Caenorhabditis elegans: one gene and its partners. The protein of the gene in region 3 purifies or fractionates together with the protein of the main gene of each other region. This does not show direct contact. Each region holds a gene or a part of one and is shown on either strand. Other genes may lie near its edges.

Region 1 (10,418 bases), on a different chromosome or scaffold from region 3:
ATGTGGTTAGGGTGTTCCCGATAAAAACATAATTTTCTAGAGCTCTACCTTGTTCTGGGGGTTCAAAATTCTGGTGTCCCAGAAGCACCCCTAAAATAATAAAGTATCAAACTTTTAAAAGTGTTTTTTTCGATGCTCTGTTTTTTTCGGACCAAAAAAAAAACAAAAACTATATTTTTAAAAAATATGTTTTTGGTCCAAAAATCAAATAGATTTTTTTTGATTATATTTTTGATCAAAACTTTGTTTGATATTTAACAGATAGCTCACATAGTATAGAACAAATAAATTTACCTTTTTTATTTATTCACAGAAGAAGAGAGAACAGAAGATCAAATACAGCAAAAAATTATGTTCATTTTTATAACATCTAGTTGAAACTGTCAAATCAAAAAACTACAAGAATTCAAAGTTTTGCAATTTTATGGTGTTTCGTAGACTTTTGTTGTTCTAAAAATGTTTCTCAGTGAACATAAGGAAATTGCACTTGTACATAACAATTAGCTGAAACTGTGATTTGAATTTGAAGTCTCTCAATCAATTTCAGCTTAACTCGCGATTCTGGTCTAAGTTATCTTTTCAAAATTCAATTTTTATTATTAGGGTTCATTCCGTTTTTTCGGGCAAAAGGAGTTTTTCAAAAAAAAATTGTATTTTGTAGTCGGAAAAATTATTTTTAAAACTTTAATTTTTTTTTGGTTTCAGAGCTCAAAAAAGTTTTTTTTTTTGTTTTTTTCCCGTAATTTTTTTTGAAGCAAATCTAGTGATGAACTAAACCAAAAAAAGTTAAAAGTAAACTTTTATAAAAGAAAGTTGAAAAGCTAAAAGACAACCAAAATGAGAAATACGATATTTCACTTGTACATAACAATTTGCTGAAACTGCAATTAAATTTTATAGTCTCACGGCCAATTTGACCCGAATTTGCAATTTTGAGCTGGAAGTAATCCTGGTGGCCCGACTGTCTCAGTAAATTTCATCTTGTTCAGTTCAATTGTCCTCCACAGATTCACAAAATCTTGTGCATGTGGTTCGGGTGTTCCCGAAGAAACATAATTTTCTAGAGCTCTATCTTGTACTGGAGCTCCTCAGAATCCAAGTGGTCCAGCAGCACACCTCAAAAAATTTTTTTGGTATTCAAAAACTATTTTTCAACAGCCTACAATATAAAAGAAATAAATTTAACTTTTATATTCATTCACAGCATGGAGCATAGAACTGACAATGAATAAAGCAAAGAATCATGTTCACTTTCATAAGATCTAGTTGAAACTGTCAAATCCCACGCTTCTAGAATTCAAAATTATGCAATTTTATTATGCAAATTATATAGGTTTTTCGTAGATTTTTGTTTTTTGTCCAAATTATTAATGTACTGAGCATAAAGAAATTGCACTTGTACATAACAACTAGTTGAAACGGTTTTTTAAGTTTACAGTCTCACAGACAGTTTCAGCTGAATTCGCGATTCTGAGCTTGGTTTTCATTTCAAAATTCAATTTTTATTATTAGGGTTCATTCTGTTTTTTCGGGCAAAAAGGAGTTTTTCAAAAAATTGTATTTTGTAGTCGTAAAAATTAATTTAAAAGTTATAATTTTTTTTGGGTTCAGAGCTCAAAAAAAGTTTTTTTTGCCGTAATGAACTAAACGGAAAAAGTCTTAAAAACTTTTATAAAAGCTAGTTGAAACCTTAAAAAACGGTGCAAGAATTGAAAAAAAAAACTAATTTCATAGTTAAGATAGAAGTCGGGTTAGCAACCGAACAAAAAAAAGAAATTTCTTGTACATAAGCTGAAACGGTAATTTAATTTTTTTTTATTTTTAGGATGTTCCCGATGAAACATAATTTAGTGGAGCTCCGTCATGTTCTGGTAGTCCAGCAACATACCTAAAGTATTTTTTGTATTGTTTTTTGTTTTTGGACGAATTTTAATTTTCAGTCGGGGAGTTTAAAACAAAATTCGTAGTTTTTTTTTTTGGTTCTTTTACTAAGATTTTTACTAAATCAAAAACAAATGCCATTTTTATAAAAACTAATTGAAACTGTCAAATTGTAAAAATCTGTTTTTTTTTTCAAACATTGTGATTTAATTACAAACTTGCAGTGCCGTTTACATTCCATATTTGGATTGGATTAGAATTGGATCTTCCATAATAGGTAGGCGCGGTTTCAGGGACCTGACGCCTGCCTCGAATCGCATTTTTACGTTTTTTTCTCATTTCAATAATTTTGTTGAAAATCAAATTAAGATATGAAAAAACAAATAGTTCGTGTATGTTTTAGAATAAGGCGCGTATTGAGGCAAGAGGCAGGCGGAGATCGCCTTAAGGTCAGGCAGGTGGGAATTTGAACGCCTTCATGGAAACCTTAGTTTTTGTAATTAACAAGACATTTTGTAATTTACAGCAAATATCAGAAAAAGATTAATGAGAAATAAGAATGTTCACTAGTACATAGCAGCTAGTTGAAACTGCGATTTTATTTTATAGTCTCACGTTCAATTTGAGCCAAATTTGCGATTCTGAGCTTGAAGTAAAAATTGTGCAGGTGGTTTGGGTATACCGTGAGACTATCCAATAAATTTACAGTTTCAGCGTGTTGTACATAAGAACACGCTGAAACTGTAATTTAATTGGATAGTCTCACGGTCAATTTGACCCGTGTTTCGGGTGTTCCCGTAAGAAACATAATTTTCTAGAGCTCTATCTTGTACTGGAGCTCCTCAGAATCCTGGTGGTCCAGCAGCACACCTGGAGGACTAAAGTGCTGAACTGTTCTCTTAAATGTTCTGTTTTTTTTCGGGCCAAAAACCAAAAGAAAACTATATTTCAAAAAAAAAACTTTTTTATTTTTATTTTTGATCAAAAACTTTTTTTGGTAAGACCTTCCTCCTGTATTTTTTTTCAATTTCAAAAATTCTGCAAGAATTCAAAATGTTGTAATTTTAGTCGCTTCAGTGAGGAAATATAAAACTGCATCTACATAGCAACTAGCTGAAACTGTAATTTTTTATTTCATAGCCTCACGGTTAATTTCCACTAAATTCGCGTTAAATCCAATGTTCTATTTTATAATTTTTTATGGATGCTTTAAGCAAAATTTGGTATTTCTTTTCGAAATTCTTCGGACCAAAAAACAAACAAAAAACAGAAAAAACTGTTTTTCCAAAGATTTTAATTCGTTTTACAGTTTTAACTTACAAATGTGATGTAGGTAGTAAGCAACAAATAAATTGCAGTTTTATAACAACTAGTTGAAACGGTCAAATTTATAAGCTCTGAAAGTTGTGTTTCCAATAAAACTCTTAATATATATCACCGATTTATAACAACTAGCGGAAACAGTAACTAAAAAATTAATTTTATAAATAATTTTAAAGTCCCAATGTTCTATTTTCGAATTCTACCCAATCGCGAGATTCTGCATTCAGATCTTATCATCTTTCTCTTCCAAATACACACACACACACCTTGAAACTAACCAATAAAAATGCAATCATCCGACCGTTTCGTCGTCGTCAAGGATCGTAACCTGGAACCAGAAGACGAGAATCATCAAAACAGAGAATTTTATGGCGGTGATCTATTGGGCGGGAAGGAACATACCACGTGGGAGAAGGGGGAGGAGAAGTCGAACATTCACGAGAAATCTTTCATTGCTGATCAGAATAAGTTCGGTTTTGTTGGCAAATTTTGAGGTTAGTTTTTTGATGAGTGCCGAAATTTTACCGAAATTTGGAATTCGGCAATTGTCAATTTTATGAACTATACCAATAAATTGTATTAAAACTTCTAGAATGCTCTAGAAAAATCTGGAAACTACTAGAATTTTCTAGAACAAAACTGGAAACTTCTAGAAATTTCCAGAGAAATCTATAAACTTCTGTAATTTTCTAGAAAAATGTGGGAACTTTAAGAATTTTTTAGAAAAATCTGGTAACTTCTAGAATTTTCTAGAAATTTTTTTTTAAATTTTATTTTTTAAAAATTACTGTTTCATCACATTGAGAAAATGTTTTTACTGTTGATTTTTCTAATTTCGTATACTGTTGACTCGGTTTGTGAAGACTCAATTTTCCAGCATGAACATCCCATCTCTCTTCGTCGACCCATTCTCTCCGCTCCTCGAGCATCCAACGGAGCAACGTGCCAAGAATGTGGCTCACGCACCAAAGCGTCCGTGTAATCTTACACAGACAGAGAAAATGGTAATAAATTTATCTTTGAAAAGATAAAAAAAATGTACTGTTTCATTAAAAACGTTTAGGCACTTGACTTGGAATTTTTTCTTTTCAAATGAATTTTTTGAAACTGCAAAAACAGTTTCATTGTTTCATTGAGCGCTTTAAAGAAGACTGTGAAACATAATCTTTGACAAGTTGGCTGAAAATGAGCCTAAACTAACAAATTTTTTAGAAAAATTTGGCTAAACTCTGAAATTTTTTGCCTAGTTTTTAATAAAATTAGCTTTTTTTTGTTGCATCAAGAAGTTTAAATGCTACACTGACTAACTAATAGAACTTTTTACAAATTGAAATGCAATATTTGGAACAGTGAACATTTTTACCTTTAATTTTTCAAATCTACTCCTAATTATGGTAAACTATTTGCAATGAGATCAATGTTATAATTTATTGTTCCGACATCTCCCGGGTTGCACAGTGTTCTCTGTGCTCGGCGCAATTTGGGAGATACCAATTAATTGAATGAAGTTGTTGTGCCAATTCTAGTTCAGAAAAAAGTAAGAGAAGACTGTAACAAAATTTACAATTTTTTTGCAATTTTGGAGCAGTTTTTGAAGTCGGTAGGCTATGTAGTTTTCGAGATCAAGAACAATCAAGAAGATCAAGAATCAGATCAAATTTTAATTTAGGAGCTGAAAAGCTGTTGGCTATTAGTTACAAAAGTCTGTTTCACTTACTTGATAAAATACAAGTGGAATTCCAAAATTTATTGTTTCGAACTTCAATGCAGGTCCCAACCAGCTTCAACTATAAAATTCTTCCAGCTCGCCGTCCGCAATGCTCTCCGCTACATTCCAAAAGAGCATCACGTCCTTCTAGCCACCGAGTTCGCTGAAGAGCTCAACACCTATGGACACATCTATGGGTATCGGTTCATGCCAAACTTTGATCTATTCGCGCCGCCCGTCTCGGAGATCGGAGCTCATTGCGAACAAGCATCGGCTATCATTTTGATGATTCTAAACAATTTGGACAAGCGGGTTGCCCAGTTTCCACAGGAATTGGTGACTTATGGAGGAAATGGTCAAGTTTTTAGGTTAGCATGGGAATCTTTCTGAAATGCTTGAGAAATGATATTTCAGCAATTGGATCCAATTCCGTCTGGTTCTTCGTTACCTCTACACAATGACTGACCATCAAACTTTGGTGCTCTATTCCGGACACCCATTGGGCCTATTTCCATCAACCCCGGACTCGCCAAGAATGACTGTTACTAATGGAATGGTAGGCCTTTGGAAACTAGGATGCTTCGTACATTTTGACATTTCAGATGATCCCGAGCTACTCGACAAAGGAGCTGTACGACAAGTATTTTGCATTAGGAGTGACGCAGTACGGACAAATGACTGCTGGAAGTTTCTGTTATATTGGACCACAGGGAATTGTACACGGGACTACGGTAAGCCGTTAAATGGAGTTTGGCATTAAAACACCGTATTACCGTCAAATTTAATGAACACACTAAAACAGTCAAATTTATTTTGGAAAATGGGCAAAGCAGAAGGTTTTCAGTATACAACGGTTTTAGATGGAATTTCAAAGGCAAAAATTCAAGGATTTCAAGATTTTTGTTTTTTTTTCTGAATATGATTCTTGTCATTTATATAATCCAAACTGCACCAATGTAGTAGAGAAGTGACTCAAAGAAAACATGTTATTTCTAATAACTAACTCAGCCCTAAAATATACGGACACTGTGAAACATTAAATTTTTGTAAATTTTATTTTTTTTTTTAAATAGTTATATAATGAACCAAAGCTGAAGTTTTGGCATTAAACACCTTATTACTGCCAGAATATATGAACACACTGAAACAGTAAATTTTATTCTGGGATATGGGCTACACAGAAGGTTTTCAGTATACAACGGTTTCAGATAGTATTTGAATGATTTTTGTTAAGTTTTTGTGTATTATTCTAGTTATTTTATAATCCAAACTCCACCAAAGTAGTAGAGAAGTGGCGTCAAGAAAACTTGATATATTGCTTTAATTTATAGCGGTGTTCTCTTGAAAACCTTCCTAATAGCTAACTCTCTAAGTCCTAAAATATGTAGACACAATGAAACAATAAATTTCTGAAATTTGTAATTTTTTTTTCAAGAGTTACATAATGAACCAAAGCTGATAATATTTTGTCCCACTGAAAAAATTTACTTACTTCAACTAACCACAGTATTTATTAAAGAGTGATAATTTAACAAAAATTTAGTTCCAGACACTTAGAAGATGACAAAATTTTTGATTTTAGCTGAAAATGAGACCTTTTTTATCAGAACTTTGAACCGCCATAACTTTTTTTTTTGAGAAATTTTCAAAATGTCTCGTTACGAAATTCAGTAGTTTTTGGGGAATCTTGGGTCGGAAAAAGCAAAATCTCAGATTTCGGTACTCCACCTTAAATAGAGTCGAATAGCTATCTTACAAAGCCCTAAAATATGTAGAAACTGTGAAAAAATAAATTTTTGTAAATTTTATTTTTATTTTTTCAGTAGTTACATAATGAACCAGAACTGATAACATTTTTTTTTAATTTGAATTTCGTAATTTTCTTAAGGTTTTTCAAAATTGACTTATTAGAAGCAGAAAGTTGAAAGTCTTTTCACTTTATAATATTTTAAAGAAATCTAAATGATTCGAGACCAGATGCAACAGATTACAGCTTTTCTACCCATATAGAAAAATAGTGACGTCACTATATGAGTTTTTCTCGATCTATTCTTCTTGTCCGATTAATTTCATCACAACTCTCCTGAATTTCTGAACCCCCTGAAACAGTAAAAATTCTCCAGATCACAGTCCTCAACGCTGGTCGTCGTATGGGACTGGATTCCCTTGCTGGTAAGGTTTTCGTAACTGCAGGACTTGGAGGAATGAGTGGAGCTCAACCAAAAGCAGCTAAGATTGCTGGATGTATTGGAGTTATTGCGGAAATTAGTGATACTGCATTGTTGAAACGTCATCAACAGGGATGGTTGGATGTATATTCGAAGGATCTTGAGGAAATTGTGAATTGGATTAAAGAGTACAGAGAGAAAAAAGAGGCAATTAGTATTGGATATTTGGGGAATGTTGTTGACTTGTGGTGAGTTTTAGAAAATTTTACTGTTTCAGAAAGTTGTTAAATTTTTTTATGAAAGTGTGAAAGGCGATCTACGGAGCAAGAGGGAAAATAATTAAAGGAAACGAGAAAAGCGGAAAAAATTGTAATACAAATAATATATCTCATAGTTTCGGAACCAAGATTTTTTTTAAATTACAGAATTTTTTACAAAGATTTTTCACAATTAATAAACTTGGTAAAACATTATTCACAAAAATTCTAGACAAAAAACTATGAGTTTTCAAAATTCCAGGGAACGGCTCGCCGAGGAACCGGAATGTCTTGTAGAACTGGGAAGTGACCAAACTTCTCTCCACAATCCATTCCTTGGAGGTTTTTACCCTGCTGGACTCACTTTTGAACAATCCAATCAAATGATGACTTCTGATCCTGTAAAATTCAAAAAACTTGTTCAAAACTCTTTAATCCGCCAAATCGCCGCCATCGACAAGATTGCTGCAAAGGGAATGTACTTCTGGGATTACGGTAATGCTTTCCTTTTGGAATGCCAGAGAGCTGGAGCCAATTTGCTCAGAGAGGATGCTCAGGATGATAAATCGTTTAGATATCCAAGTTATATGCAGGATATTATGGGGTAATAATTATTTGAAAAGAGTACAATTTAAATAAAATAAATTCTGTTTCAGAGACATCTTTTCAATGGGATTTGGACCATTCCGATGGGTTTGTACTTCTGGAAAGCCGGAAGATTTGAGATTGACTGATCAGACAGCATGCAAGATTATTGATGAGTTGAAGGATACTGATGGTGAGTGCTTTTATGTTGTAACAAAAAAATCGACTGTTTCACTATGGCTATATGTATGTTCACTATTTTGAGAAATTTGATGGGTTCAGTGTGTGTATCTTTGAAATTTAGTACTAATCTCATAAAATTGAGCATTTGTTGGCGAGAAATCATATATATGCTGTTTCATATTGTCCATAAAACTGCCGACGAATTTTGACTTTAATTTTTAATATTTGTTAGGAAATTTAGGGATGTGAAGCTGTTGAAAAAAAAAAAGAAAAACGAATAGCCAGTGTAATATTCTTGAAACCGTAAATAACTACTAAATAAAATAGCGTACTGTTTCGAGAAGTTTATATAATTTTCGCTTTTTGAAAGAGGTTATTCCGGAAATATTGCTAAAAAAAAGCAGAAAACTTCTACAATTTCGCATAGTCATTAAAGTATGTTCGATTATTTTATTTTATTAATTTTGCTGAATTAAAAAATAACATATTAAAGGTGGAGTACCGAAATTAGTGACTCTGTTTTCTTAGACCAAAATGAGTCCAAACCTACCGAATTTTGTAATGAGACGTTCTGAAAATTTCTCAAAAAAAAAAGTTATGACGGTTCAAAGTTTTAGAAAATAAGGCCCATTTTCAGCTAAAATCAAAATTTTTTCCAACTTCTCGGTGTCGCAACGTCTGGAATTGAATTTTCATTTATTCATCACTTTTTAATAAATATTGTGGTCATTGATTGGGCGTTTATTCGTTGATTTAACTACATTTATGGTCTTTGGGGCACAAATAAAAGTTACATTTTGTGCCTCACTGACCATAAATGTACTTAAATCAACGAATAAACGCCCAATCAAAGGCCACATTATTTATTAAAAAGAGATGAATAAATAAAAATTCAATTCCAAACGTTGCAACACCGAGAAATTAGATAAAATTTCGATTTTAGCTGAAAATGGGCCTTATTTTCTAAAACTTTGAACCTTCATAACTTTTTTTAAAGAAATTTTCAGAACGTCTCATCACAAAATTCGGTAGTTTTGGGCTCATTTTGTTCTAAAAAAACAGAGTCTCTAATTTCGGTACTCCACCTTTAAGAGTAGAAACATGTAGTTTTAGGGGAACTCATCAGGTTATTTATCAAATTTATGCTTGGAAAAGTTGAAAGTCTACCGAAAATGTCTTTTCCGCTGAAAAAAATTAACATCGTTCCCGGAAACCCGGGATATGTCGTACCATGATGAACAATTCACAAAGTGTCGACCGCAAAGCAAGTATACCAAAACGAGAGATAGGAGATGCGGTTTGAAAACAAGTTGAATTTGAGAATTTTTCACTGTTTCCAACTTTGCATTTTAATTTGTAACGTATTGTATTAGACAATTTGTAAAAAATTATGTTTTTTATTATCTTCAAAATACTATGATCCTGAATGAATTATTTGAAATGGGTACCCTTAACTTTAACAAATATTCGCTCTTAAAAATTCTGAGAAAATTTGCAAAAAATCACCACGTCTTCTTCTTGAATGGGTACCACTGAAAATTAATTGGGTTGTTATTTTTATTCCGAAATATACTCACACTGCTGCCAAGTTTTGAAACTTTCTGTTTCTAGCAGAGACATTGATTTTTTCATTTTGAGAACCAAAAATCGAATCATTATTTTTTGCTAGTTTAATAAGGCTGAGCAAATCAAACCACCAACTCCAAATTTCAAAGCACATTTATCATGTTTCATAGACTCTGTTAAACCAACGTTTCAGTCCCCGAATACGTGAAACAGCAATATTTGGACAACAAGAAATGGATAGAAGAAGCCGAGAAAAATAAGCTCGTCGTTGGCTCACAGGCACGGATTCTATATTCGGATCGTGCTGGAAGAGTTGCATTGGCTTCTGCATTCAATGAGCTCGTGAAATCTGGAAAAGTGTCGGCTGCAATTGTAATTTCAAGAGATCATCATGATGTTTCTGGAACTGATTCTCCATTCCGTGAGACTTCAAATGTTTATGATGGAAGTGCTTTTACAGCTGATATGGCTGTACAGAATTGTATTGGTAAGTGGATAGGGGCTACATATTTAAAAAAAAACAACAATTTATAATTTTTCAAAAATTTCACTGTTTCGCATTGTTCACAAAAATGAAATCAATATTGAGTAAAACTGATCCACAATGACTGTTTCCTTTCCATTTCAGGTGACTCATTCCGTGGTGCTACATGGGTTGCCCTTCACAATGGTGGAGGTGTTGGATGGGGTGACGTCATCAATGGAGGTTTCGGTATTGTTCTTGATGGCTCAAGTGATGCTGCCCGC
Region 2 (6,928 bases), on a different chromosome or scaffold from region 3:
ACTTTCACTGCAAAAGTGGTGCAAAAGTCACCTACAAATATTAGTGTAAAATACACAATTTCTATCAAATTTTGATAACTAACTATATAATTTTTTTTTGATGCAGATTCTCTCCGGCTTCATCAATGCCCTATTCCTATGTGTTATCGCGTTGTTCATCCTTATTGAAGCACTCGAACGACTCTTCGATCCACCAAACATCAACACTGATCGTCTTTTATTCGTCGCAATTTCCGGACTTATCGTGAATCTATTCGGAATGTATTCTCTCGGAGAACACGGACATTCTCATGGTGGTGGATCGAGTCATGGTCATTCCCATGGTGGAGGTGGTAGTCATGGACACTCTCATGGTGGAGGAGGAAATGCGAATATGCAGGGTGTATTCCTTCATGTTCTTGCCGATACACTTGGTTCTGTATTTGTGATCATTTCGACGTTACTTATTCAATGGTTCGGATGGGTTTGGGTTGATCCGTTGTGTTCGTTGATCTTATCACTTCTGATCATTGGATCAGTGTATCCATTGTTGGTTTCATCGATTAGTACGTTGTTGCAAGATGTTCCGGAGGAAGAGGAGTTCGAGTATCATATTAATGAGATTTTGGAGGTATATCATTGTTTTTTTTTTTGGAAATTGGTACTGTAGGGGTACTATAGGAGTACTGTAGGGTGTTGTAGGATTACTGTAGGGTTGCTGTAACTATAGGGGGGCTGTAGGAATATTTTGTTGGTACTGTAGGGGTACTGTAGGAGGGTTACTGCGTTGGTTGTGTAGGATTACTGTAGGAGTTTTGTAGTGATATTGTTGGAATACATAATTTGTTATGGTTATGTATGGGCTACTGTACGGATACTGTATTGATACTGTAGGGATATCGTAGGAATACTGTAGGAATACTGTAATAGTATTATAGGGGTATCGTAGGAGTACTGTATTAATACTGACGGAGTACTGTAGGAATACTGTATTGGTACTGCCAGAGACTGTGGGAGTACTGTAAGGATATTATTACTTATGGGGATATTTTAGGAATACTGCATTGGTGCTGTAATAGTATTATAGGGGTATCATAAGAATACTGTACTGTTGAAATTAATTCATCGATCCTTGAATTTCGCAAAAATTTTTGTCGCACAGAAAGTGGGGCGGAGCGTAACTTTCGCAATACTGCCGCACGGTGTTTTTGTACGCCTCTTTTCCAATGATTTTCTTGTTGATTTTTTCGAATAAAGTTTCAATTTTACTTGTCTTTTCGTTTTTTCGATTTGGATAACGTTCTCATTCGAAAAAAAAACAAACGAAGAAAGACAAATAAAATTGAAACTTTATTGAAAAAATCAAAATCATTAGAAAAGAGGCGTACAAAAACACCGTGCGGCAGTATTGCGAAAGTTACGCTCCGCCCCACTGTCTGTGTGACAAAAATGTTCGCAAAATTCAAGGATCGATGAATTAATTTCAACAGTAGAGTATTCTTATGATACCCCTATAATACTATTACAGTACCAATACAATATTCCTAAAATATCCCCATAAGTAACAATATCCTTACAGTACTCCAACAGTCTCTGGCATTACTACTGTAGGGGTACTGTAGAAGTAGTGTATTGGTACTATGAAGGTACTGCATTTGTTATCGTTATGTATGTGGTACTGTAGGGGTACTGTAGTTCTAGAAATATTGTTTTTTTTAGTTTCTGCGAGTTCCTAAAAAACATCGTGGAAATTTCTGCAACTTTTTGAAAAAATTCAAGAATTTTCTGAATTTCCTTCAGAACTGTCCGAAAATTTCTGAAACGTTCTAGAAAGCTGTTGGAAATTTTAAGAAACTTTCTGAGCTTCTGAACAAAAAATTTAAATATCTGAAAAAAAACCCCTTAATTTTTGCACAGATCGAGCACGTAGAATCGTATTCAAATGCACACATGTGGCAGCACAAATCGGATATCAACGTGGCAAGTGTACACGTTCAAGTGAAAGAAGAAGCGAATGCACAAATGATTCGACACCGTGTCTCGAATATCCTGAAGAGCACTGGAGCCACCCACTCAACTGTACAAGTTGAGAAAAAGACATTTGCACACAGGATACAACAAGTGTGTCCTGGATATAAAGCTGGTTATACGGTACGGGATGCTTTGTTGCTTAGAGGACAAAATATCTTTAAAAATGACAATTTTTCAAAAAAAAAGTTGTTTTTTTTCAGGAAATGTTTTATTTGATTAAATTTAATAATATTTCTAAAAACTACAAATTTCTGATTTTTTTGTTGAATTTTTTCATTCGAAAAAAAATAATTTGGAGCATTTTTTGCCATTTTTATATTTTCGATAGTAATAATATATAAAGTATTAAAAATATCTGAAATTGTAGATTTTTCCAATTTCAGAAATTTTTAATTACTTTATTACTATCGAAAATATAAAAACGGCAAAAAATGCTCCAAATGAATTTTTTTTCCAATTTTCAACAAAAATCTGAAATTTGCAGTTTTTAGAAATATTATTAAATTTCGTCAAATAAAACATTTTCTGAATAAAAAAATCGTAATTTTTAAAAATTAATTTTAATTTTTTTCGGAATTTTCAGTTAATTTTCGACTATAAAAATGAGAGAAAGTTGAAATTTCAGAAATAAAAAAAAATCGTTATTTAAAAAATAATGCTAAAATTCTGAAAAAAATTGTTAAAAAATTGTTCCTGAAATTTATGAAATTTTCTCAAATGTTGAGCATTTTTAATTGAAAAAAAGGGTAAACATTCAAATTTTCTCCAATTTCAGGTAGTCCGCGGAAGTGTGATAAGAGAGAAGAAGCATGATCATTCACATCACCACGGGCATTCACACGACGATCACAGCGGACATCATCATTAATTTATTCCAGTAGTATTTTTTTTCTTCTGAAATTCACTTATTTATAGTCATTTTTCCCCTTTTTTTCTAGTGTCTTTGCTTTACATTTCGGGATAATTTATTGTGTTTTTGTGTGTTTTTTCCCTTTTTTTCTCCCCCAAAAACCACCCCAAAGTTCCTTCAAAGAGTTAATGAAATTAATTTATTTTTAGAAAAAAAAAACGTTTTTTTTTTTCAACTTGAAGTCCATTTGGGAGCCCGTTTCTCTGCGAAAGCTGACATTCCTTCCCGGCGGTCATTGGTGGCGAAGGTCGACTGGAACAACTGCTTTTCCATTTCAAGGCCCTGATTTAGGCTGGTTTGGTAGGCCGAGTTTAGGGATCTCTGCAAGAAATTGGGAATATAATGTCTGCCTATGTGCCTACCTCATGCCTACATGTCTACCACATACCTAGGCCCCTAGCTCATACCTGCTTACCTGCCTATTCACTGACTATTCACAGCCTTTTTGCTGCCTACGATCCTGCCTGCCTTATGCCTACCAGTCTACTTCATGCCTAGGCGCCTACCTCATACCTACCTACCTATTTTATGCCTGACTGCCTAGCTACTTGTTTTCCTCATGCCTACATATTTTACGACTACCTGCCTGCCTCTTGCCTACCTTATGACTAGGTGCCTACATGCATTCCTTCTTGCCTACGTGCCTAGCTGCCTACATGGCTGTCTCCTACTTCATGCCTACACACCTATGTTATGCCTCTGCCTACCTACCTGCCTTACTCCTAGGTGCTCATTTCTACCTACCTACATAGCTACCTTATTTATGTCTCCCTATCTGCCTGCCTACCGCATACCTACCTAAAATATGCCTGCCCGCGTGCCTATTTCATGCCTACCTATTCTTTTATTTTCTTCTAGCTTGCCTGCCTACCTAATGCCTACCAAGTTTACACCTACCTACATACCTAATTTGTGCCTACCTTATGATTATGTGCTTACATCGGCCCTACATCGTGCCTACATCTTGCCTGCCTACGTGCCTATTCCATGCCTAATAGGCAGGTAAGCAGGCGTAGGCATTCCCGAAAACGTACCTTGACAGTTTTCACAATAAGAGGAGAATTCTTAGCGATCCTATCAGCCAACAGAACAGCCTCCCCAACCAACTGCTGCACCGGGAACACCTTGCTCACCAGGCCGTCTTCCTTCGCCTCCTGAGCGCCTAGTCGGTCGCCTGATAGGCATATTTCCATGGCAACTGACTTGCTCACATACCGGGGCCATCGTTGGGTACCACCTAATCCGGGGATGGTTCCGATGGTGATTTCCGGTTGGCCGAATATTGCATTCTCTCCAGCATATACTATATCACACATTAAGGCAAGTTCCGTGCCTCCGCCTAAGGCAAATCCGTTGACAGCGGCGATCACAGGTTTTGTGATGTGTGATAAGGTGTCCCAGTTCGTGAAATAGCTGAAAATTAGGTATGTTTTGTGCCTGCCTGTCTGCCTAGATGCCTAGCTTGTGCCTACCTGCCTACATGCTTACTATACGTCTGCCTACCTAGGTTGATGCGGGCCTCATGCTCGCTGTCCACACGTCCATATACCTGCCTAATGTCTGCCTGCCTTTGTGCCTTCTCCATGCCTAGATGCCTAGTTTGTGCCTGCCTCCTTCAAACCTACCTGCCTACGTGCCTATCAACTTACATCTGTCTGCCTTCCTACGTACCTACATACTTACCTACCTGCAAGCATGCCTACCTACCTCACGCTTATCTAATGCATGCCTACCTACACGATTTTTGCTCAGCCATCTCTACCGGCCCTGTCTTCAGTGTGCCTGCCTAAATGTGCCTACCTGCCTGCTTGTTACCCTATATACCTGGCTACCTACCTACCTACCTGCATGCACGCCTACCTACGAGTCTACGTGCCTACCTTGGTCCCTACCGCATAATCATATCTGCTTACATGCTTACATGCATCTGCCTAGATATTTGTATTATGCCTACCGGCCTACCTGACTATCTTCCGGTCTTTGTACTTGACTGCGTGCCTACCTACATGCCTGCCTGCCTACCCTCAAGACAAATAGACACCATGTAGGCACGTAGGCAGGCAGGCGCCTACACCAAAACTCACTCATTCTCAAAAACATCTGCAAACTCCAACTTGGCCATCTCCTTGATATCGGCTCCGGCAGCGAATGCCTTCTCACTTCCAGTGAGCACAATCACATGGTACGACTGATCCTTCTCCACTTTCAGCAGATTTTCAGACAATTCCAGCATAAGCTCACGGCAGAGAGCATTCAGAGCACTCGGGCGGTTCAGAGTGATCAGTGCAACGTTTTCGGCGGCTCCGGTACGTGAGAGGGTAATCATCTGGAATAAAAAGTGGAATTGGAAATTGACAACACTTTTGGCTTTGTGAAATTGGACAAAAAACGGGGGATATAGTCAGGGTACTGTAGTAGTACTGTAGGATTACTGTAGTTTTGGAAAAATTGGCTTTCTGTCTTTCGAAGGGATGATGGTTTGGAGTGAGTGGGGGGGGGGGGGGGATATGAGCAGGGTACTGTAGTAGTACTGTAGGGGTACAGTAGGAGTACTGTAGGATTACTGTAGTTATGGAAAAAAAAAAATTACTGTTCGTCTTTTGAAGGGATATTGACTTGAAGTTAGTAGGGGGATATGATCAGGGCACTGTAGTAGTACTGTAGTGGTACTGTAGGGGTATACGGTAGGGTTGCTGTAGTTTAGCAAAATATGAGTTTTTAGCTTTTGCAGAGGTATTGGGTTTGGAGTTGGTGGGGGATATGATCAGGGTACTGTAGTAGTACTGTAGGGGTATTGTAGGTATAAGATAGGGTTACTGTAGTTATAGAAAAATTGGCTTTGTGTATTTTTTAGGATTATTGATTTGAAGTTAGTAAAGGGATATGGTCAGGGTACTGTAGTAGTACTGTAGGGGTATACGGTAGGGTTACTGTAGTTTGGGAAATTTGATATTTTGCCCTTTTGGGAATTATTGACATGATGTTAGTAGGGGAATATGGTCAGGGTACTGTAGTACTGTAGGGGTACTGTAGGAGTACTGTAGGATTACTGTAGTTTTGGAAAAATTGGTTTTCTATCTTTTGAAGGGATATTGGTCCGATGGTCGTAGTCGAGGTACTGTAGTAGTAATGTATGGGTACTGTAGGTATACGGCAGGGTTACTGTAGTTGTAGAAAAATTGACTTTCTATCTTTTTAAGGAATATTGACTTAAAGTTAGTAAGGGGATATGGTCAGGGTTCTGTAGTAGTACTGTAAGGATACTGTAGGAGTACTGTAGGATTACTGTAGTTTGGCAAAATATGAGTTTTTAGCTTTTGAAGAGGTATTGGGTTGGGAGTTGGTGGGGGGATATGATCAAGGTACTGTAGTGGTACTGTAGGGTACTGTAGGTATAAGATAGGGTTACTGTAGTTGTAGAAAAATCGACTTTTCGTCTTTTGAAGGGTTATTGCTTAGGGGTTAGTGGGAGATATGGTAGTACTATAAGGGTTTTTTCTGAAACTTCAATTTTCTCCGAAAATTTTCACAGAAATCTGGATTTCCGAAAGTTTCACAATAAGCCTAATTGATTTTTTTTCTGAATGAATAACTATTTGGTATAACTCAATGATTTGTTAATTTTCAAAGTTTCTTTTGTCTGTTGTAAGAATTGTTGAACGTTAAAAAAACATCTACTTCAAAAAATAGTTAAAACGGTGCCAGTCGTTGTCCGCGCCGGAGTCTGGTTTATTCAATATTTTTATATGTATAGCGGAAAAATAGAAAAATTGATAAGAGTTCAGTGATAAGGAGCACACCACCACCAACACATCATGGCATGATTCTGGGCTCAGCGAGCACACAAATCGGAGCCAATAAGGGGAAAACTGGAACTAATCAAGTGGAAATTCGCTGAAGGGCATCTTGATGACCGCAGTCACAATTGGTGTGGCCCGTTTTGCATGGACTAGGAGGGCTCGGACATCGCAGTTGGCGGCCTTCTCCGGATCCTTGCAGTAGAGCAAT
Region 3 (6,638 bases):
GTTGCAATATTTGTTGTGAAATCATTTGTTTTAGTTAAAAAAATATCAGTAAGAAAACTGATTATTCGAAATGGAGCATTTTAAAATTGTTAGGCGAATATTGAATTGTTGATTAAAATATATATCAAACTTTTAAAAATCGCGTTTGATGTTCATAATTTTTAGGCTGTAAATCTAATTTATGATTATCTCCCCTATTGTAGCACTTTAGGTGTTAGAAAATGGCAGTTCAGAGACAGTTCAACGTTTTTGCATCGAAATGTTGTGTAATGATAGTTTATATTGTCATCATCATTTGATCTTAGATATATGAACATTGCTCTCACTCTCTTTCTTTACTGTCTCCAGTGTGATGTCACAGAAGAACAGTTGACTTTCAATTGCACGTGGGAACTCTTGAAAAGCAAGTGCAACTCCTGTATGAAAGAATCAAGGAGCTCCTAGGAGTATCGAAACCGCCAAAGTTCACAGCTACACGTAACTAATCTCAATTCTTTTATGAGAACGACAAAACCTTATTAGCACTACTTTTGACTAGAAAATCTATATCTCTCTTTCCTTCTTTTTTTTTACAGAAAGTGCAATTTCGCTCCACCGCCGTACTAGCTTTTCTATTTAACCATCATAATCTTTCCTTTCTTCTGTTCTGTCTCTCATTCATCTCGATCCGAACGAATTTCTTCATTCTCTTATCTTATTTTCAAAAACAAGTTGTGTCGAGTCAATTCTTTTTTTTTTCAGAATGTTGTCATCGTCTGGACACGCAATTCGCCGCGGAATCACCACATCTGCTGCACTATCAAACAAACATGCTTTCATCGTCGGAGCCGCCCGTACACCTATTGGATCATTTCGTTCTTCTCTCTCTTCGGTAACTGCTCCAGAGCTCGCCTCGGTTGCCATCAAAGCAGCATTGGAGCGTGGAGCAGTGAAGCCGAGTTCAATTCAGGAGGCGAGTGTGTTCTTTGTTTGCATTTTTCTATACTAGTAATATCTGAAATTCTATATCACTTCCAAAAACTACCGATTTAATCTTAAAATGCCTCAATTTCAGGTGTTCCTTGGTCAAGTCTGTCAAGCAAATGCTGGTCAAGCTCCCGCTCGTCAAGCAGCTCTTGGAGCCGGACTCGATCTTTCGGTTGCTGTTACCACCGTCAATAAAGTGTGCTCTTCTGGGCTGAAAGCAATCATTCTTGCTGCCCAGCAAATTCAAACCGGTCATCAAGATTTTGCCATTGGCGGAGGAATGGAGAGCATGTCACAAGTACCATTTTATGTTCAAAGAGGAGAGATCCCATATGGTGGATTTCAAGTGATTGTGAGTTTAATTTATTTTTCTAAAAAATATTAAATTGTCTAAAAATAGTCTTTAAACTTCTTTAAAAGAAATCAATGCTCACATTTTCTTATTCAGGATGGAATCGTCAAAGACGGACTGACCGATGCTTATGATAAAGTTCACATGGGAAACTGCGGAGAGAAGACTTCAAAAGAAATGGGAATTACACGTAAAGACCAAGACGAATATGCTATCAACAGCTACAAAAAGTCAGCTAAAGCATGGGAGGTTTGTCAACTGATTGCTCTTTGTGCGTTTTATGATTCCATGTTGTTTAGAATGGAAATATCGGACCAGAAGTGGTGCCAGTGAACGTCAAATCAAAGAAGGGAGTCACGATTGTTGATAAAGATGAAGAGTTCACAAAAGTCAATTTCGACAAGTTCACCTCGCTGAGAACTGTTTTCCAGAAAGGTTTGTACTATTCTTATCGTGAAAATTGAAATCAACATAATATATTAAGACGGAACTATCACTGCTGCTAATGCTTCAACATTGAACGACGGTGCAGCTGCTGTCATTGTTGCCTCACAGGAAGCAGTTTCCGAGCAAAGCTTAAAGCCTCTGGCCCGAATTTTGGCTTATGGAGATGCCGCCACGCACCCACTCGATTTCGCTGTAGCACCAACTTTGATGTTCCCAAAAATTCTTGAAAGAGCAGGAGTGAAGCAATCAGATGTTGCTCAATGGGAAGTTAATGAAGCCTTCTCATGTGTTCCCCTTGCTTTCATCAAAAAACTAGGAGTCGATCCATCCCTTGTGAACCCACATGGAGGAGCTGTTTCAATTGGTCACCCCATCGGGTATGTTGCCATATCAGTTGACCGTTCTTTCCGCATTCTTATCGTAAATTTGTTATCGATTATTTTTCTTTCAGAATGTCCGGAGCCCGCCTCATCACTCATCTTGTGCACACACTCAAAAGTGGCCAAATCGGAGTTGCTGCCATTTGCAATGGAGGTGGTGGCTCAAGTGGAATGGTTATCCAGAAATTATAGATTTATAATTTAACTTTTTTCGTTTAAAGTTTGTTACCTTTTTTCACGATTAGCTTGTATTTATGTATTTTTCGCTCATATCGAAACTCCGGTAAATAGATTCATTTATTATTTTGATTATCTACTTCTCTTTCATTGGTTTCAAACCAATTTCAGTTATCTTTTTTTATTCGTATGCGATTTTTCTAATAATCCAAAGTTCAGACAGTCTATCGCAATGTCGGATAAAAAAGTTTTCATTCTGAGTGGAGCTCGCACTCCCATCGGAGCTTACCGAGGATCTTTCGCTAACTTTGGCGCAGTTGAGCTCGGAACGGTCGCTGCAAAGGCAGCAATTGAACGATCAGGTTAAATTACTGATAATGAAATTTTGAAACAAATATTAAATATTTTTAGGAGTTGCTCCGGAGAAAATCGAAGAAGTAATTGGTGGATGCGTACTTCCGGCCGGTCTAGGACAAAATGTGACCCGACAGATCTCTTTGTCGGCTGGTCTTCCAGTAACAACGCAAGCTGTTACGGTGAACAAGGTTTGCTCTTCTTCGATGAAAGCCTTGGTGACAGCAGCTGTGGAAATCAAAGCAGGATATTATGACACTATTCTTGTTGTTGGAACTGAAAATATGAGTCAAGTTCCATTTTACGTGCCGAGAGGAGAAATTCCATTTGGAGGAATCCAGATGACAGATGGAATCTCGAAGGATGGACTTGAAGATATTAAAGAGAAAGGTCCAATGGGATTATGTGCTGAGAAGACTGTAAAAGATTATGGAATTACTAGAGAAGAACAAGATGCATATGCTATTGAAAGTTATAAAAAAGCTTCAAATGCATGGAGTTCTGAAAAGTTTTCGGAAGAAGTGGTACCAGTTAGTGTTAAGACTTCGAGATCGGAAGTAGTGATCACTGAAGATGAGGAGTATAAGAAACTGATCGAGTCAAAGGTATGCAGAAAGAAAATGTTTATCAAAAATATTAAACTTATTTAGGTTTCCTCTTTGAAACCAGTCTTCGTTCGTGACGGCACTGGAACCATCACACCGGCCAATGCATCTTCGCTTAATGATGGAGCTGTCGCAACTGTCGTTGTCGGAGAGAATGCTCTTCCACAAGGAGCTCATCCACTTGCTGAACTCGTGGCATTTGCTGAAGCTGGAAGAGCTCCCATTGATTTCACCGTGGCACCAGTGGACGCCGTTCGTCTTCTTCTCAAAAAAAGCGGGCTCCAAGTTTCAGACATTGCATTGTGGGAGCTCAACGAAGCATTTGCCGTCACTGTTCTTGCTTTCATCAAAGAACTTAATATTGAGCCAAGTGTTGTTAATGTAAAAGGAGGTGCAGTAGCGATTGGGCATCCACTTGGGTAAGTTTTTTTGTTGATTCAAACTTCAGTGAGCGTTTTCGGAAAAATTAGAATGTGTACAGAGAAAATTCTGATAGCAAAAAAACATTCTAAAACACAAAAACAAAACATACAAATTTTAAAGTAAACTTTAAGTCCGAACAAACCTATATTAATTTTAATAATTTTCAGAATGTCTGGTCTCCGAATCGTCAACTCCCTTGCATATTCTTTAGCTCCAGGACAGCTCGGTGTAGCTGCAATTTGCAACGGAGGAGGAGAAGCCACAGCAGTGCTCATCAAAAAACTGTAATATGAACCTCTTGCCTAAATGTTTTCTGGTCTTCTATTCATCATTCCTTGATTCACTTTTACAACAAATTTCGATTACGTATTTATAAATAGTTAAGGTTCTTGTCACATAAATGTTTATTCTCAAATGGTGCATACGTGTTATTGATTGGGAAATGAATTAAGGTTAATATGTACATTATCAGGAATGGTTTTGAGCCATCTCAAAAGAGATATACTGGAAAAATCGGAAAAGCATTTTTCTTTTGAGATATATCATTCATTCACGTCTTCAAGGCAAAACATATAAGGGGAGATCGTATACAAATAATCACAGGGAAGAATTGGTGGATGATAAAATGATCCCATAAACCATTATTAGTTTGAGAGATCAAGTTGGGGGAATGAGAATATTAAGGGGGGAAGAATTTAACCGGGAAGCAAACATAGAGCGATTTAATTTTTCCGGGATTTGCTTTGCTAGGCGGTTCCAGGTGGCGAGGTTGGCTCTGAGGAATCCTTTGTTTGTTTCGCCAACAGATCTGAGCATGTAGGGGTATCTTGGAGTTACAGCTTTCTTCACCGACGATGACACATTTGGGTAGTGGAAGTTTCCAGTTATGATGTTGTGGTAGGTGCGAAGGATCTGCAAGACCCGCCTATATTGCACTGACTTCAAATTGGCTTGGGCCAAACGATCCTCGTATGAAGAATACTTTATGTTGCAGCGTTGGAAGACGAGCCTGGTGAAGAAATGAGATGAATCAATAAAGGCTATGAACGGGTAACTCAATAAAGTATCTTCCTGGACTGGGATGATTCCGAGAAAACAATCACAAACGATACGGTAATGAATAGGAATCCATTGATTTCATTTTATCTGTAATTTCAGTGTCTGACAAGAGATCGTCGTTTCGGAATTATTACAGGCCCAAATATGGCTGGAAAGTCAACATATCTGAAACAAGCTGCCCAACTAGCAATCATGGCATAGGTAGGATGCTTCATTCCAGCAAACTATGCTTCGTTGCCAAGTAACCTAAAAGTTTTGATTTGCTATTTTCTATCGTCGAATTAATTTCAGTTTTTAATCGTATCTTCTCCAGAATGGGTCATAACGACGAGTTGATCAGAAATAAGTCTGCATTTGCATCTGAAATGTCAGATGCAGCTGCAATCGTACAGTATGCCGATAAAAACTCACTTGTAGTTCTTGATGAGCTAGCACGAAGCACATCGACTGAAGAAGGAATCGCCATCACCTATGCGATTTGTGAGAAGGTTCTAAAGTTACATGTGCTTGTAAAAACAAAAAAACGAATTGTAAATTTTTATTTTCAGAGCTATACCTTCCTGGCTACACATTTTCTCGATATTGCAGCTCTCGCCAACTATTCAAATGCAATTGACAAGTGATTCTACAACTCTACAACTATTTCTTTCGAAACTTCTTTCTTTCAGTTACCACTTTCTTCCACAAATTGATGACAATTCGACGAAAAAGCACAAGTTGTTACGTGGATAATATAGAGACCATTATACGGTATGAATAATTCATTATTAGCAGAAAAAGTAAATGATAGACCGTAGAAAAGTGTGAGATGGGAAATTTGGAATCAATAAAGGCTATGAACGGGTAACTCAATAAACTATCTGTTTGTGAAAGCTTGTAGAAAATAAACGAGTTGGACCCGATATAAAAAAGTATTGAGAAATTGGATCTTCTAGAAAGAATCTTCGGATGATGCGTAGATCTTCTGAATTAATGAGGAATGCTTGTAAAATTGATAACGACTGCGCTGGAATCGGCGGTTTTCGAAATCTCGGCTGAAATCCTCATTGAAGGACAACTGGCTCGACGGCTTCATTGGGCAGTACCTGAAATGCTCACGTTAGAAATATATTGAATATACAGTGTGGGAAAGTTCTATAGGACCCCCCCTAATTTGAAGGTTTGAGGAACTTCCGAAAATTTTTTCGAAAAACTGCTAATGCCGTTCGTTTTTAAATTGAAAAAAACCTATATAAATTTTTTTCCAGAAGTTTATCTCAAAAACTGAGGTCGCGCTGGAAAAAACGTCAAAATCCAGTGTGAAACTTCTATAGGACCCCCCGTTTTTTTTCACGATTTTTACTAAAATCAACAGATTTTGGAATTTTTGACAAAGCTCAAATCAAGTTTGAGTTAGAAATGAGTTCATATAAGCAGTTTTGACTTTAAAAAATTAATACGAAATGTTCTCGTGGGATCTCCAGACTGGTTCTGATTCTTCCGATCTTTGATGTTCAAGTCTGTTTCAAGCTTCCTGGTGCTCTCGGTAATGCCAAAACTTGATAAACTCTCTTTAACAAGTTCCTACTAAAATTCCTAGCACGCACTTTAGATGTTTCGACTGTGTAGTCAAGCTGATTTGGCAAAATATGCAGCAGGAAACAATGGAAGGCTTATCAGGAATCAAATCGTTTTTCTTTGATTACAAGGTTCCATGGGACCAATATTTCAAGTTAAATTGTCCCTCACAGATGTTATTTACTATTTTTTGCGTGAATTATTAAATGTGGAATTGTGGCATGTGTTGTGGCACACATATAGAGGCTGGAAAGCTTACTTCGAAAGCAGTCTAACTTGCAATGCCTCGAGGATCTGCCCTTTCGGACACTGAACGCG

What was found.
Region 1: the proteins of T02G5.7 (region 3) and uroc-1 fractionate together in Caenorhabditis elegans (co-fractionation; one large-scale study listed by BioGRID). This does not show direct contact.
Region 2: the proteins of T02G5.7 (region 3) and ech-7 fractionate together in Caenorhabditis elegans (co-fractionation; one large-scale study listed by BioGRID). This does not show direct contact.

Annotation. Positions count from the first base shown.
Region 1 is NC_003282.8:16,535,987-16,546,404, reverse strand, and holds the start of uroc-1 (putative urocanate hydratase), read left to right. Parts: upstream 1-3,655; 5' UTR 3,656-3,698; intron 3,699-4,037; exon of another isoform or gene 4,038-4,058; intron 4,059-4,081; 5' UTR 4,082-4,082; coding exon 4,083-4,208; intron 4,209-4,486; exon of another isoform or gene 4,487-4,511; intron 4,512-4,951; exon of another isoform or gene 4,952-4,978; intron 4,979-5,008; coding exon 5,009-5,280; intron 5,281-5,326; coding exon 5,327-5,468; intron 5,469-5,514; coding exon 5,515-5,643; intron 5,644-5,647; exon of another isoform or gene 5,648-5,668; intron 5,669-5,679; exon of another isoform or gene 5,680-5,700; intron 5,701-5,996; exon of another isoform or gene 5,997-6,017; intron 6,018-6,247; exon of another isoform or gene 6,248-6,268; intron 6,269-6,634; exon of another isoform or gene 6,635-6,655; intron 6,656-6,954; exon of another isoform or gene 6,955-6,975; intron 6,976-7,035; coding exon 7,036-7,328; intron 7,329-7,395; exon of another isoform or gene 7,396-7,416; intron 7,417-7,599; coding exon 7,600-7,941; intron 7,942-7,993; coding exon 7,994-8,115; intron 8,116-8,195; exon of another isoform or gene 8,196-8,216; intron 8,217-8,320; and 15 more.
Region 2 is NC_003279.8:14,364,528-14,371,455, forward strand, and holds ech-7 (putative enoyl-CoA hydratase, mitochondrial), read right to left. Parts: upstream 5,247-6,928; coding exon 5,005-5,246; intron 4,334-5,004; coding exon 3,955-4,333; intron 3,947-3,954; exon of another isoform or gene 3,870-3,946; intron 3,242-3,869; coding exon 3,092-3,241; 3' UTR 3,089-3,091; downstream 1-3,088. Other genes in the region: slc-30A5 (Proton-coupled zinc antiporter SLC30A5), read left to right, coding at 107-610, 1,897-2,130, 2,786-2,878; bbs-1 (BBSome complex member BBS1), read right to left, coding at 6,796-6,928.
Region 3 is NC_003280.10:7,073,073-7,079,710, forward strand, and holds T02G5.7 (Acetyl-CoA C-acetyltransferase), read left to right. Parts: upstream 1-2,541; 5' UTR 2,542-2,554; coding exon 2,555-2,684; intron 2,685-2,733; coding exon 2,734-3,281; intron 3,282-3,326; coding exon 3,327-3,700; intron 3,701-3,871; coding exon 3,872-3,992; 3' UTR 3,993-4,116; downstream 4,117-6,638. Other genes in the region: kat-1 (Acetyl-CoA acetyltransferase homolog, mitochondrial), read left to right, coding at 743-952, 1,055-1,318, 1,415-1,567, 1,618-1,753, 1,803-2,142, 2,217-2,337.